3 linked regions of the Schizosaccharomyces pombe genome follow. The gene in region 3 interacts genetically with the main gene of each other region. Each region holds a gene or a part of one and is shown on either strand. Other genes may lie near its edges.

Evidence for each region. Genes that interact genetically often act in the same process or in processes that back each other up.
Region 1: of cut2 (region 3) and psm1, a mutation in one rescues a mutant of the other (synthetic rescue), as found in Schizosaccharomyces pombe (one study listed by BioGRID).
Region 2: of cut2 (region 3) and cut8, extra expression of one is lethal in a mutant of the other (dosage lethality), as found in Schizosaccharomyces pombe (3 studies listed by BioGRID, with this or other methods).

The regions. Positions count from the first base shown.
Region 1 is NC_003423.3:2,538,705-2,545,657, forward strand, and holds psm1 (mitotic/meiotic cohesin complex ATPase subunit Psm1/Smc1), read left to right. Parts: upstream 1-2,011; 5' UTR 2,012-2,038; coding exon 2,039-5,704; exon of another isoform or gene 5,705-5,750; coding exon 5,751-5,771; 3' UTR 5,772-6,453; downstream 6,454-6,953. Other genes in the region: histone H3-H4 chaperone, CAF assembly factor (CAF-1) complex subunit A Pcf1, read right to left, coding at 1-1,249; exonuclease I Exo1, read left to right, coding at 6,845-6,953. UniProt on the Schizosaccharomyces pombe protein: Involved in chromosome cohesion during cell cycle and in DNA repair. Central component of cohesin complex. The cohesin complex is required for the cohesion of sister chromatids after DNA replication.
Region 2 is NC_003424.3:4,475,510-4,479,500, reverse strand, and holds cut8 (nuclear proteasome tethering factor Cut8), read right to left. Parts: upstream 2,024-3,991; 5' UTR 1,652-2,023; coding exon 863-1,651; 3' UTR 860-862; downstream 1-859. Other genes in the region: scs22 (VAMP/synaptobrevin-associated protein family protein), read left to right, coding at 9-124, 206-859; protein Pex19, read left to right, coding at 2,791-2,884, 3,027-3,631; protein dhm2, read right to left, coding at 3,927-3,991. UniProt on the Schizosaccharomyces pombe protein: Together with nucleoporin alm1, tethers the proteasome to the nuclear envelope. Involved in ubiquitin-mediated protein degradation and facilitates the degradation of nuclear proteins like mitotic cyclin and cut2. Required for normal progression of anaphase.
Region 3 is NC_003423.3:2,202,481-2,205,834, forward strand, and holds cut2 (securin cut2), read right to left. Parts: upstream 1,737-3,354; 5' UTR 1,727-1,736; coding exon 836-1,726; 3' UTR 520-835; downstream 1-519. Other genes in the region: eno101 (enolase), read left to right, coding at 1-76; TIM23 translocase complex subunit Tim44, read left to right, coding at 3,074-3,354. UniProt on the Schizosaccharomyces pombe protein: Regulatory protein, which plays a central role in chromosome stability. Probably acts by blocking the action of key proteins.

The sequences.
Region 1 (6,953 bases), 340 kb from region 3:
GAAACTTTGAATCCCAAACCGGACCTTCTACGATTACCTCTAATGGGCCGGAGGAACGATGGGTATTAGAAGCATTGACACTATCCTTGTCATCATCCTCATCATCCACAAAAGCATTATCACCATCCTCTACAATATCATCGGAATTATCTACCTCTTCATCTTCACTTTCTAAATCTTCTCCATCATCTTCCTCATCAGCTACCCATTCTGCTTCTGAATCATATGTGTAGTCTATGTCTTCATCTTCAAGCCAGGGATTCAATAAAACGTTAGAACCATGGGAATGGGTTTTCGTGTAAGATCCAAAATATGGAGGGCGAACATCCTGATAAAAGAAAATGAATTTAATAGGAATCTGTGATAAACAAGATAAAATTTCTTGAGGTTTTGAAACAGATGGATCTTGATATGCGCTCATTAATTGTCGAACCTCGTTTTCGGAATTTCTATTACTAACACCTAAACTGTTTGCGGAGCTTACAGCATCTGATGGTGTAAAAATGTCGTTTAGCTTTAAAGGATAAGATTTAGAGGTTGAGAGGACTTCATCCAAAAAAGAATCAGATTCGTTCGGAGATGGATATTTGGAAAGGGACATCTGATGCTTTATAAAAAAAGGGCGAAACTCTTTCTCAAACTCATTCAGTTCATCCGTTTTGTCAGCTACAAAATTTTCGTTTGGCGCGATTCGTTTCTCAACTCCTTTGGTGAAAAAGTTGTTTAACTTCAATTGTTGTCTTTCCTTATTAAGGATTTGTTCTTGACGAAGGCGCTGTGCTTCTTCTTTCTCACGAAGCTTTTGATCCCTCTCCTCCTTCCGCCTTTGTTGTTCCTGCAATCGAATCCGCTCCTTCTCTAATTTCTCTAATTCTTTCATTTTCTTAGCGGCGATTTTTTCCTGTTCTCTTAGCTTTTTCTCTTGCTCTCGTTGTTGACGTTCCTTTTCACGTTTTAAACGCTCTGCTTCTTTTTGTCGAATCCTTTCCTCTTGGGCCCGCTGTTTTTGAAGCTTCTTTTCTTTACCCGCTTCAGCAGAGCCATTATAAATTCTTTTCTTTCTATTACCCTCATAACTTAATTTGCAAACGTACTCATCAGCTTCACTTGCAGAGTGACTGGAATGAATAACCGATTCATTCGGGGAACTCACTGATAAAGACGTAATGTCAGTGGAAGAGCTACATAACTCATTTCCCTTATTACTAGTAGAGGCCGCGACATCTGAATCAACACTTTCACTATTCATAGACAATGCTGCGAATATCAATAACAAGCCTAAGGGAGGCTAAAAACCGTGCGTAAGTTGTTTTAACGGACGCTCTGATCGAATAAAGAGGATAAAGGAGAGTTCGTAAATTATATGTTAATATTCTATTATATACATCACTATCCCAAATCTGTCTCACCAATCTATTATTCATCCATCTTAACGCTTATATAATTGAATAATTTAATTCCTTAGTTCTAACAAGATATGTACTGATTGATCTGAGTAGCTTAAACATCAAAGTTTTTTGCGAATGGGTTAATATGGTGATTTGTTATATATTTTACCTGACTACGATTATATAATATTACTGCTACATTGCATTACGATATTAATGTTAATATTTTATGGCTCATCTATATTATGATTGAGTTAATATCAGTTGACGAGAATTTTCTTTGAAATTATTTGCCATATTTTTTAACTGGTGATTGGAGTACCACAAATTCATTAATAATGAAACAAACGGATGTTGTTATCATCAATTTTCTTCCTATTTATATGCAGCAAACTTCTTTCAATAACGATGCATCGTACATATATAGGCAGGGGCTATGCAGCTTAGAATAGTAATTCGCTGGAAGGATAATATCATAATAACGAGGTTCTTGTTACAGTGAATATCAAGTTGCACTATATATTATATCGTGGATTTCTGAAACTTTATGAGATGTAATCGTAATGAGTAGGTAACAATATCTAATCAAGTAAAGACGCGTACGCGAGTTTCATACACACCTTGTACATTCCTTTTACCAAGTTTTCCTAATGGGACGTTTACTAAGACTGGAAGTTGAAAACTTTAAGTCTTATCGAGGACATCAAATTATAGGTCCTTTTGAGGACTTTACCTCGATTATCGGTCCTAATGGAGCCGGAAAATCGAATTTAATGGATGCCATTTCTTTTGTTTTAGGGGTCAAGTCTTCTCATTTACGATCAACTAATGTTAAAGAACTGATCTATCGGGGGAAAATACTGCAAAGAGATAATACAGATTTCACTGATTCTAGTAATCCTACTACAGCATATGTGAAACTTATGTATGAGTTGGATAATGGGGAGCAAAGAGAGTATAAACGCGCAATCACTCCTTCTGGTGCTACTGAATACAAAATTGATGAAGAAATAGTTACGTTTTCTGAATACTGCGGATCTCTCCAAAAGGAGAATATTCTTGTTCGAGCTCGAAATTTCTTAGTTTTTCAAGGTGATGTTGAAACCATTGCTTCGCAATCTCCTTTAGAACTTTCAAAGCTTGTTGAACAAATAAGTGGCTCTCTGGAATATAAATCTGAGTACGATAAATCTAAAGACGAGCAGGACAAGGCTGTAAATTTATCTGCTCATTCGTTTAACAAGAAACGTGGTATCAACGCTGAGTTACGCCAATATCAAGAACAGAAAACTGAAGCCGAGCGTTATCAAAGTCAAAAAGAAAAACGAGACTCTGCGCAGTTAGTTTACCTTTTATGGAAACTCTTTCATCTAGAGAAAAGTATTAGTTCTAATATGGCAGAGGTTACTCGATTAAAGGCAGATTCCATTCAACTTATCGAAAGGCGAGATGAGAACACTAAAGAGATAGAAAAGTTGAAAGAAAAAGAGGGCAGTATACGAAGAAACCTTCTTGCATTCGATAGAAAAGTTCGAAAACAAGAAAAGTTGATTGCTTCGAAACGTCCAGAGCTCATTTCAATTGCCGAGAAAGCCCTAGAGTCTAAGTCAAATCTCCGAAAAATTCAAAGAAAAGCTGCGGAAATAGAAAAAGATTATTCTGACCAAGCTAGTACGTTACAAGTATTAGAAAATCAATTGACTTCACTCTCAGCTGCTGAAAAAGAGTTTTTAAAAGACATGCAGGAAAAAGAGCAACTCAAAGGGTTGCGATTGTTACCAGAGGATAAAGAGGAGTATGAAGGACTTCGAAGTGAGGCGGACAAATTAAACTCAAATCTATTGTTCAAATTGCAGACGTTAAATAGGAATATTAAAGTTACTTCTCAATCAAAGGATTCATTAACGAGCATCGTTGGAGACTTAGAGTCGAAGATTAAAAGCCTTCATGAAAGTGTTTCTTCTCTTGATACCGAGCGAGCGGATTTGCTTGCTAAAATAAATGAAAAGATTGAAAGTTTGGAACTTGAAAAGCATGATCAGCAGAAGAAGAGGTTGACTTATTCTGAGCTTTTTCATAAAACACAAGAATTAAATGAAGAGCTTCAATCTTGTTTACAGAAAATTTTAGAGGCAAGTGCCGACCGCAATGAATCCAAACAGGATGCTAAAAAAAGAGAAGCATTGTATGCTTTGAAAAGGATATATCCTGAAGTCAAAGGAAGAATCATTGACTTATGTACTCCTACTCAAAAGAAATATGAAAGCGCAATCGCTGCTGCTTTAGGCAAAAATTTTGACGCAATTGTCGTCGAAACGCAGGCAGTTGCTAAAGAGTGTATTGACTATATAAAAGAGCAACGCATAGGTATTATGACCTTTTTTCCAATGGACACCATAGCAGCCAGTCCCGTTAATCAAAAATTTCGTGGAACACACAAAGGCGCCCGACTTGCAATTGACGTTTTGAATTTTGAGTCTGAATATGAACGTGTAATGATTAGTGCAGTTGGAAATACACTCATTTGTGATTCAATGACTGTTGCTCGAGACCTTTCCTATAACAAACGTCTCAATGCCAAGACAGTTACTTTAGAGGGAACGGTTATACATAAAACAGGGTTGATTACTGGTGGATCTTCAAACAACCGGTCGGCGAAACACTGGGATGACCATGATTTTGATCTGCTTACTCAAACAAAAGATAGACTTATGCATCAAATTGGTGAAATAGAATATCAAAAGTCATCTTGTGTGATTACAGAAAGTGATACTGTCAAGTTGCATAGTCTTGAATCTGAGATATCTCTACTCAAAGACAAATATACAGTAGTTTCTAGATCCGTGGAAGACAAAAAAAAGGAAATTGGACATTACGAATCTTTAATCAAAGAAAAACAGCCTCACTTGTCAGAATTGGAAATGGAACTTCGCAACTTTGTTAAAAGTAGAGATGAGCTTCAAATTCAAGTAGAAAAGGTTGAGGAAAAGATATTCTCCGGGTTTTGCAAACGAATTGGGATAAGTGATATACATACTTACGATGAGATACATCGCACTTTTACTCAAAGTTTTACACAAAAACAACTCGAATTCACCAAGCAAAAATCATTACTTGAAAATCGTATTAGTTTTGAAAAACAACGTGTTTCAGATACCAGGTTACGATTAGAGCGTATGCATAAATTCATTGAAAAAGATCAGGAATCTATTGATAATTACGAGCAAAATCGGGAAGCACTTGAATCAGAAGTTGCAACTGCCGAGGCTGAGCTTGAATTATTAAAGGAGGATTTTGCAAGTGAGAACTCTAAAACTGAAAAAATTTTATTAGCTGCATCCGAGAAAAAGCTAGTGGGCAAACGATTAGTGTCTGAGTTAACAAAGTTATCAGGAAACATTACTCTTTTAGAATCGGAGATTGACCGCTATGTATCTGAATGGCACGCAATTTTACGAAAATGCAAACTAGAAGATATAGATGTTCCGTTACGCGAAGGATCTTTGACGAGCATACCTATAGATGATGTCTCAAACAGCGGTGATATCACCATGGGCGAAGAGCCGTCTGAACCAGTAATAAATTTTGAGAAATTTGGAGTAGAAGTGGATTACGATGAACTGGATGAAGAGTTACGCAATGACGGTTCTGAGAGTATGGCTTCTGTTCTTCAAGAAAAATTGAGAGAGTATTCGGAAGAGCTGGATCAGATGTCTCCTAATTTAAGGGCTATTGAGAGACTTGAAACAGTAGAAACTCGCTTGGCGAAGTTAGATGAAGAATTTGCTGCTGCTCGTAAAGCAGCCAAAAACGCAAAAGAACGCTTCAATGCCGTTAAGCAAAAGAGATTGCAAAAATTTCAAGCTGCCTTTTCGCATATCTCGGAACAAATCGATCCAATATATAAGGAACTTACCAAAAGTCCTGCTTTTCCTCTTGGTGGAACAGCGTATTTGACTTTGGATGACCTCGATGAGCCATATCTTGGAGGAATCAAGTTCCATGCAATGCCACCTATGAAGAGATTTAGAGATATGGATCAACTTTCTGGAGGAGAAAAGACCATGGCTGCTTTGGCTCTGCTATTTGCTATCCACTCTTATCAGCCATCCCCATTTTTTGTATTGGATGAAATTGATGCAGCTTTGGATCAAACCAACGTTACCAAGATTGCCAACTATATTAGACAGCATGCATCCAGCGGTTTTCAATTTGTTGTCATTTCCTTGAAAAATCAGTTGTTCAGTAAATCAGAAGCTTTAGTGGGTATTTATAGAGATCAACAGGAGAATTCTTCACGAACATTATCAATCAACGTAAGGGATTACTTTTTCTTAATTTTAAAATACTAACGAAAAACAGTTGGAAGGTTATGTGGAGTAAATGATAATATTAACCTGTGATATGCTGCTTAATGTCTGTGTTAATATATTCTAAGAATACTTTATGTTTAATAGGGATGGCAAATATATATTTGCGTAATTTATTTATTTCTAACGAATTTAATTTTAATTGTTTTAAGTTTCCTTCTATAATTGATCAAGGACTTTTTTAATTTACAACGCTTTTTCTTTATGTCCTTAATTGATTTTGTCTCTGAATTGACTGGGCTAATGATAGAAACATTAATTATAAGTCACAATTGTCAGCTACGTTTATGTTTAATCCCTAGTTTCAAGGAAGTTGGGTTTAAGTGAGGTTAATGTTTTCAATATAATTCCAGTAACGCAGTTACGCTTAGACGATTCGGCTCACCCCTTGACTGTTTGTTAACTAATGAATTTGGCTGCATACAATTTTGAGAAGTCTCTACTATTCTAGAAGGCTTTCTCCGGAAACTAACTATTGCATTTTCCTTTTTAGTTTAACAGTATTTGCAGTCACAAACTAGCAAGAATACTTTTAAGAATAAACGTTTTATTAGCGACGAATAGTTTAAAATATGTTTAAACCCAACTAGATGCTAACCGCACTACATTTTTAAAACCGCAGCTTATAGAACTTTAAAATATTAATTTTGCGCTTGAGTTTTCCTCATACAGCTAAATTCAATGATTTGGTAATGGTTGATTGATTCACCGTAGTCTTAGTTAACAATCACGATAGATTTCAAACAAAGAACTTTAAAGAAAAAAACTTACTTATAGTATTATCATGATTTTAATGATTTCGATTGAATAGATGTTTAGAAAAGAAGTACACCAGCATACTCAAACAATGATAGCCGGCTCCTTAAATTATTTCACACATAAACAATAACAAAGCCTTTTATATTTATCCTTTCTTAATGATAAAGTAAATTTTATACTTGTTCGTTTTGGGCCTATCGACTGCAAGAATATATTTGTTGATCAGATACACAACACACTTCCAAGGGTACTACGTTAAAACTGTTACAGAACCAACATCTCGATAACGCACCTGCATTCTTTTGGTGCTTGACGAATGCTTTAAACATGGGAATTAAAGGTCTTTTGGGACTTTTGAAGCCTATGCAGAAAAGCTCTCATGTCGAGGAGTTTTCTGGCAAGACTTTGGGAGTTGATGGATATGTTTGGTTGCACA
Region 2 (3,991 bases), on a different chromosome or scaffold from region 3:
TTTAATAGTTATCCTACAGCCTCTAGATCACGAACCGGCTCCTGGCACAAAATGCCGCGATAAATTTTTGGTCCAGAGCACTGAATTGAAGCCAGAATTACAGGGAATGGATATAGCAGATATTGTATGTGATAAAAGATATACTTACATTTACTTTTTTAATACATGCCATACATAATTGATGTTCTAACCAATACTTTAATAGTGGACTCAAGTCAGCAAGGCTAATATATCGGAACGAAAAATTCGATGTGTTTATAGTGAAGGCCCCAGTACTGCAAATGCTCATGCTAATGCTCACCATCAACCAGCTCAAACAACGACTACATCTATTCCTACTTCTGCCACTGACAATTATACCACAGTAAATGGTAATGTTAATCAATCTTACTCTAAAGGAATAGACGGAACGGCACTTCCTTCGACCCATGCAAATCCCGTAGCTGCTCCATCTACAGCTACTACACAGCATACCCAGCTTCCTAAAACATCTGCAGTTTCTCACCAGAAGCCCCATGAAGCCCCATCTACTGCCGTAAAAGCTCCTACTGCAACAGTCGCTGAAAATGAACCTTACCCAAAGCCTCAGTCAGTGCCTACTACCACTTCTCCTAACAATGAAAATAATGCATTAAGATCTACCGCTAATGTAATTAATAACACAAGACAATCAACAGCTACGAGTCCATCTATGTTCGCTGGAAACAGTGGAAATCAAATAGGACTTGCACGCGTTTCATCGTCTTTTGGGCGTCCGACTAGTGGTGCCAAGGTTGTTCCTCAAATTCATAACACAGTTACTGTGCAAACCGCTTTCCTATTAGCCATTATATGTTTCCTTATAGGCCTTCTGTTCTAGTTTTTAAATATATTGATGCATACTGTGCCAACCCATTCCATTGTCATTCCCAATGTTCATACTATTAGTATGACGATGAAAATTGTTTTGTGGATTTGTTTGTTGAAAAGTATGACTTCTTTCATGTACAAGTGGCTCATTTTTTTGTAATTGCTTAAGGTAATTTAATGCCTCTTCCATTCTGTTTTGTGATGTTTTATTGTGCTCTTCCAACTCTTCCAAAGGTAGTAAAGGGACTACAGGCCGATCCTCAAGTTGTCTTAAAACAACAAGCCACGCGCCCGTTAATTCATAGTACGCTTGACTTTTATAAACATTATGGTTGGGATTATGGAATTCTGGCAGTTCGTGGACAACGTTTGTAGCGGCATCAAGAAAAGTAATATTTTTCTCAAAACAAGTAGAGTATGGAGGTAAATAACAAGGAACCATATCATTAAGCGCATGTAAGACAGCCATGTACTTTTCACGAATTCTATTAAATGCGTAATCACCCCTCTTGTCACCACCATAGGGAAATGAGTCATTCAAGTTAATTAAAAGTTTACGCAACGTTTCAACACAAGTATCCATGGACGGCGCCGGTAATATGCCCCGTATATCACGTGCGAGATCAGGATGCTTTTCTACACATTGTAATAAAATTGTAAAAAGCTGTTGTTTGTCTGAATATTGTAGCAGTCTCGACAATGGCAGTTGCTCACCCACAGGTAGTTGACGAGCACGCTTAGAAATGTCTTCGTCAAAATCAGCTTTGCGTTTCTTAATCTGAGAATAAGATAAGGTCTCCATGAATTAAGGAAATGAACAGTAACAACAAATAAAGATACCAACTTCAAACGTGAAATCGTCTGATTAATTATAACAAAGAAAATGAAAATTACAAAGAAATGGATATTCCAAAAGAAAGAGGAAAAAATTTCAAAAGTAGTAACAATAAAACAAAGATAGAGGATACTTTGTTAATGAGCTTCCTTTTTTAAAAGCCGGAAGGATGGCTATTGCTCAGTGTATCGACTTATGAAAGCTAGCAATTTAATTTTTTTCTCAGCCCAAATGAAATAAAACCGTCGATTATAATTTCTATATTACAAGAAGCTCTATTGCCCGCAATACCAGCTCAATTAGAACCTCGATTTCTTAAAAAAGATAATGGAAAATGGTAAGAACAATTTAGTGGCTCAAGAGTTTTCTTCTCATGAGACGTTACCAAACTATTACTTAATTCCTTAATTTGTTTACTGAAAAAATTACATTTTATTTAATATAATGTCACCGCAGCTGAGTGTCAAGCCTACAATAATATGTTAACGCAGTACAGAAAATCGTTAAGTTGGAAGAGCAAAATAATAATTTTTTTCGAAGTAATTGTGCGTATGGATCAATGTTATAGTCAATAACTATTTAACTAATTGTTGTTGGTAAACAGTAGTCAATTCTAACTTATTGGTGATGCTAAAAATGAAAACAAAGCTTCATTTCAACTGATCATAGGCAAGTAATAAAAGCAGGGGGTAGACTTTACGTTCTTGTGTCGACGATTTTATGATCGTTAATTTCGTACTCGATTCATACCAGATACACAAACAATGAATAATTAAAACGATTCATACATCCAGTAAATAAAAAAAATTCCATTAAATTTGTTGTTTGAAGATTTAAAATTGCGTCAAATTTGAAACCAAATAACGCATCTTAATGCACTTGAACGTTTTCACGCTGATATACTTTGATAAACAACGATCACTACGGTTTTACCTACATGAAAAATAATAGAGAAGCACTTTATTATTTTTTTTTGGCAGTTCCAAATTTTCATTTTTTTTGAACTTACTACTTTTTTATTTATTTTGTGAATTACATGATAATTGAACTTGCAAGAGGCTTTTGAAAAACGACAAACGTATGCTGACATCTGATATATAAACGGAATGTCAAATCCAACTATTGAGGGAGACGAAAACCGTAAAGAAAATACAAAAAGCAACACAAAGCCGAATTTTGACGACCTTGATGATTTGGATGGTATGGAACATCGGTAATGTCCTGACTACGATTTGTGTATTACGATATTTCGTTCAAGTGAATTTTGCATTGCATAAATATAAAAAATAATGAGAGGGTAGAAAGGACTTTACATTAAAAGGAAACAACTAACAAAACAAAGATATCCTAGATGATTTAGATGTACCCAGTGCATTTAAGAACGAAGAGAAGAAAAACATAGATGAGCATAAACAAACCGGTAATACATCAAAAGAGAATGAGAGGATAAAGAATGACGATAATTTGAATTCACTTATTCAAGAAATGATGAGCAAATTTGAAGACTTAGGGGGACCGTCTGGCTTGGATGGGAGTCAACTTTCGTCTAGCTTTCAGAATGATCAGTTACTCAATGTTATATTAGAGGATCAGTTTGCAACGGAAAAAGATTCGGATAATGGAGCCGTTAACTATGGTGCTTTAGAGGCTGCCTTAAACTCCCTAATGTCACAAGTTACCAGTAAAGAGATTTTGTATGAACCCCTTAAAGATCTTGAAGCAAACTATCCTAAGTTTTTAAAGAATGCGAAGGAGACAGAGAAGCAAGGTTTTGAAGAACAGTACCAGAAAATTCAGAAATGTATTCAAATTTTTGAGAGTCCCGAATATGATGCTCGTAAAGATGCAGATATCATTTCGAAACTGGTAGAAGAAATACAGGAAAAGCCGCTTCCAGCTCCATTGATTGATAATTCTATGGAAACTGCAGGATGTCCAACCCAGTAAGTGGCTTGACTAAAGGATATGTATCATCGCTGTTATATTATTGAACTTAGGGTTTTGGATTATATATAATTGATTCTTTGTAAAAATTTCCTTATTTTCATTTTCAATTTAGTAACCCACGAACTTAGGTAATTAATTCTTTTGATTGTAACTGCTAAAATATGTTAAGTTGGTTTATATAAAGTTGTTTAGAAGTTTTTAGCTGACATTAGGTCAAGGCGAACCAACGCAAGGCTTTGACAGCAGCAGCAAACGAATAAAATCATAGTGTTATGTTTTCCTTTTTCAGAAATCGTTACAATTGATCAACTTCTTCTTCCAGATCCGATGGTTCAATTGCATAATCTTCAGAGGCATTTT
Region 3 (3,354 bases):
CGAGGAGGAACTCGGTTCCGAGGGTGTTTACGCTGGTGCCCATGCTGGCAAGTACATCAAGGCTGCTAAGTTTTAAACTCTGAGCATACATTAAATTTTACTAATGTTTACAATACATGTTTATTTTTATAGAATGCAATGAAATTTTTATCCTTTTTGCGTTTTGGATTAATTTGCCAGGTTGCGTGTTTATTTATTATTAGTATTAAAGTAAACTGTTGTTGTAGTAGAAGTAGCTGATATAATTGTTTTGTGCTAATTTGCATCCTTTTTTTTTTTAGATGATCATTTTAGTTTTCGTTTATATAGTGTTTTTTTTTCAATCATCTTAATTTTTTTTGGAATGTGTGCATCTGCTGTAAAACACAGAAATTTGTCTTTGACCTAGTACATATTTTTATGTGTAGCCAAAATTTTTGGATACCTTTGCTCTTTATCAGTCACTTTACTACTACTAACACTGGAAAATGTTCTATTCCTCAGCATCTTACCTACTAGTATTTATAATATTCATCAACGTAGAATGAAAATAACAATATTATTAACATAATTCATCTACATTACAATAGTAAAATATTGAACCAGAAAAGCCAAAAAAAAAAAAGCATATAGAAAAGGAAATCATTTGTACAGAAAAGTCATGAACGAAAAACATGTCATAAATTAAGGACCGTATAGGCTTTATGCATTTAAGTAAAAAAAAAAAAAAAAAGAACAGCATTAAAGTGGTGAAACAAATTAAACAACAAGGGAAATCAAAGCCATCGGAAGAATCATACTTACAATCGTAGAAGCGGAAGCCAGTACGCACAAAACCTGAAAATTCGGAATCTTTTTATAACAATCCTGTATCCAAAGATGAAAAATCAATTCGTGAAGATGATAACGAATGAATAGAACGAGATAAAGGGCGCCGACGGCTATTGCCAGATGCAGTTACTCGGGGTCGTGTGAGTTTATGAGATAAGGGTCGAGGGATGGATTTACCAGATGCCAGCTTGGTGCGATAAACGGTACTGAGTCGTGTTCTGGAAGAGGATTGTTTGCTGACAGAAGGCTTTTCGAGAACCTTTCTTTGTTGATCAGAAGCTTTCAAGGTAGCGGGTGTTGTCAGGTTAGTATCCTTTTCTGTTAACGGGGAGTCACCGTCTACGCTGAGCAGAGGAAATTGTATAGGATCATCATCACTGAACTCCTTGTAAACATGGAAATCTGATGCAGGTGTATTACGAATAGTTACTGAGGTAGCCTTATTCTGCATGCTAGGCCAAGGATCGAGCGTTTCACAATCAATTGCAACGTCGTCAAACCCCAGGGATTGAATGGGGTCCAAATGAACAGGAGGAGGCATATATTCGATATCTTCTTCAAGTTCATTTGGTAAAGGAGTGTCTGTTAAAGAGGAACGACGAGGGCTAGCCGAAAGTCGCTTCGACCGCTCTTGTACGGCTGATCGGGAAATTCCTTGTGAGTTTGGCTCCAAAATAGTAGGGGAATCCATCGAAATATCCATAGGAGACATTTTCTTTGTACTGGGAGCAGAAATAAATTTGGAAATGTTAGTACTCTTACCTCCCAGTACCGTTCTAGGAACCGTTACAGAAGAAGGTGCATTCGACTGCTTTGTAGACCCCAATGGTGCTCTTTTGGAGCCCGCTCCTTTTGTACCATTTCTGTTTGATATGGGAGTTACAGGAAAAGCGTTTTCTTTTCCATATGAAAACATGGTTCTTGGCAACATCGTTGTCTATAGTCCAAGGCTGGTTTATTATTTCACAGGTGACATTCAATTGTGACCTGCACAATTTAAAATAGTAAACAAAGCGATAATTTGAAGAAATATGATCACCTTTTAAATTTTTACTTTTACAAATGCATAATAAATTGTTTTGTTTTGTTTTTGAATTGCTTAATTGGATTGAAGATGATTTATGATATTCAGGTTGCTTTTATCGTCTAGTGTTCAAGATGGAAAACCAGTTCTTCATGAAACAAATAATTTTACATTCCAACTATACTATGTTGTAATCATTCTGAATCATTATCAGAAAAGTTGGAAGTGTATTACAACTGATCATTTCGTATAAACTTGATGTTGAATGAATCTAAGCTTTTAAAGCTAGATCTGTCTGCCAAAATTGATCAGTTATGACTTTAAGTATCCCATTTCGTTATTGAAGCTGAAAATTTACAACCTGTGATAAATAATATAGGAGCTTCAACAACTGTTTTCATAAAAAATCATGAAACACATTAATCATCAGAAAAATTCGAGGTTTACTACAACTTAAATGCGCCTTTTGAATTCTGTATAAACCAGCTACTTCCTTATTTTCAAATAAATTTCATCAAAGAAACTTAGGGGCACAACAAACGTCGCATGTTATTAGAAAGAATTACATACAAACATTCTATCAAACTGATAAAAAAAAAAAAAAAGATACAAAATTAAGAGATCTTTAAATTTTTCTAGATTTGAAAAATCTCTACAAATGAATAAACGAAACTTCAAAATGCTAATTAATACTATTGCTTTTATCTCCAAAACCCGCTACATACTCAAATTATCCAGTTCTATATAACGCATTGTAATATATCTATGCTGCTTATTGAATACTTTTTTTCATAACTTCATACGATCTCTTACCACCCACATGGTATCGATTCCCAACAATATTGTAAGCAACAGCTACGACTGTTTCAACCAATACGAAAGGAAATTGATCGGTACTCTTATTCTTTAATATATTAGGATCATGCGTAATTTATGCTTCCCTCTATATCAATATTTTAATAGTTGCATTTCAGATAAAATGAGCGAATTCGTAAAAATTCTAATCGTAAACTCCTCTTAGTAAAGTAAAAAAGTCCAAATATAAGAGAATATGCTAACTTTTGTTAACAAAAGACTACTTCTCGATATTTAGGATTAAGGTATCTTTCCACCTTTGTGGCACTTGAACCTTCCATCCACCACTCACTAGGCTGCTATATCGGTTTGCAATAAAAGGCAGCAAAGTGGATTAATTTTCGCGTAATAGCGTTGAGATTTATTTATTCAATAGGAAAGAAAATGTTTCTATCAAGAAAAATCACAAAAAATGCCCGCACAATAGTTCAATGCCAGCGGTTTTTCCAAACGTCTATATTCTCTCAAAATGCAGCACCTCAATCGCCAATCAAGGTGTTCATGGATACATTTAGAGCAGAATTAAAGAAGAGCCAGGAATTACAGGACAGTGTCAAAGCATTGCAAGATAGTTCAGGATCATTAAGTGAAAGCGACACTTTCAAAAAAGCGAGAGATGCTTACGAAAAAGCGCGCTCGGGAACTACTGCAGCTTCATCTTTCAC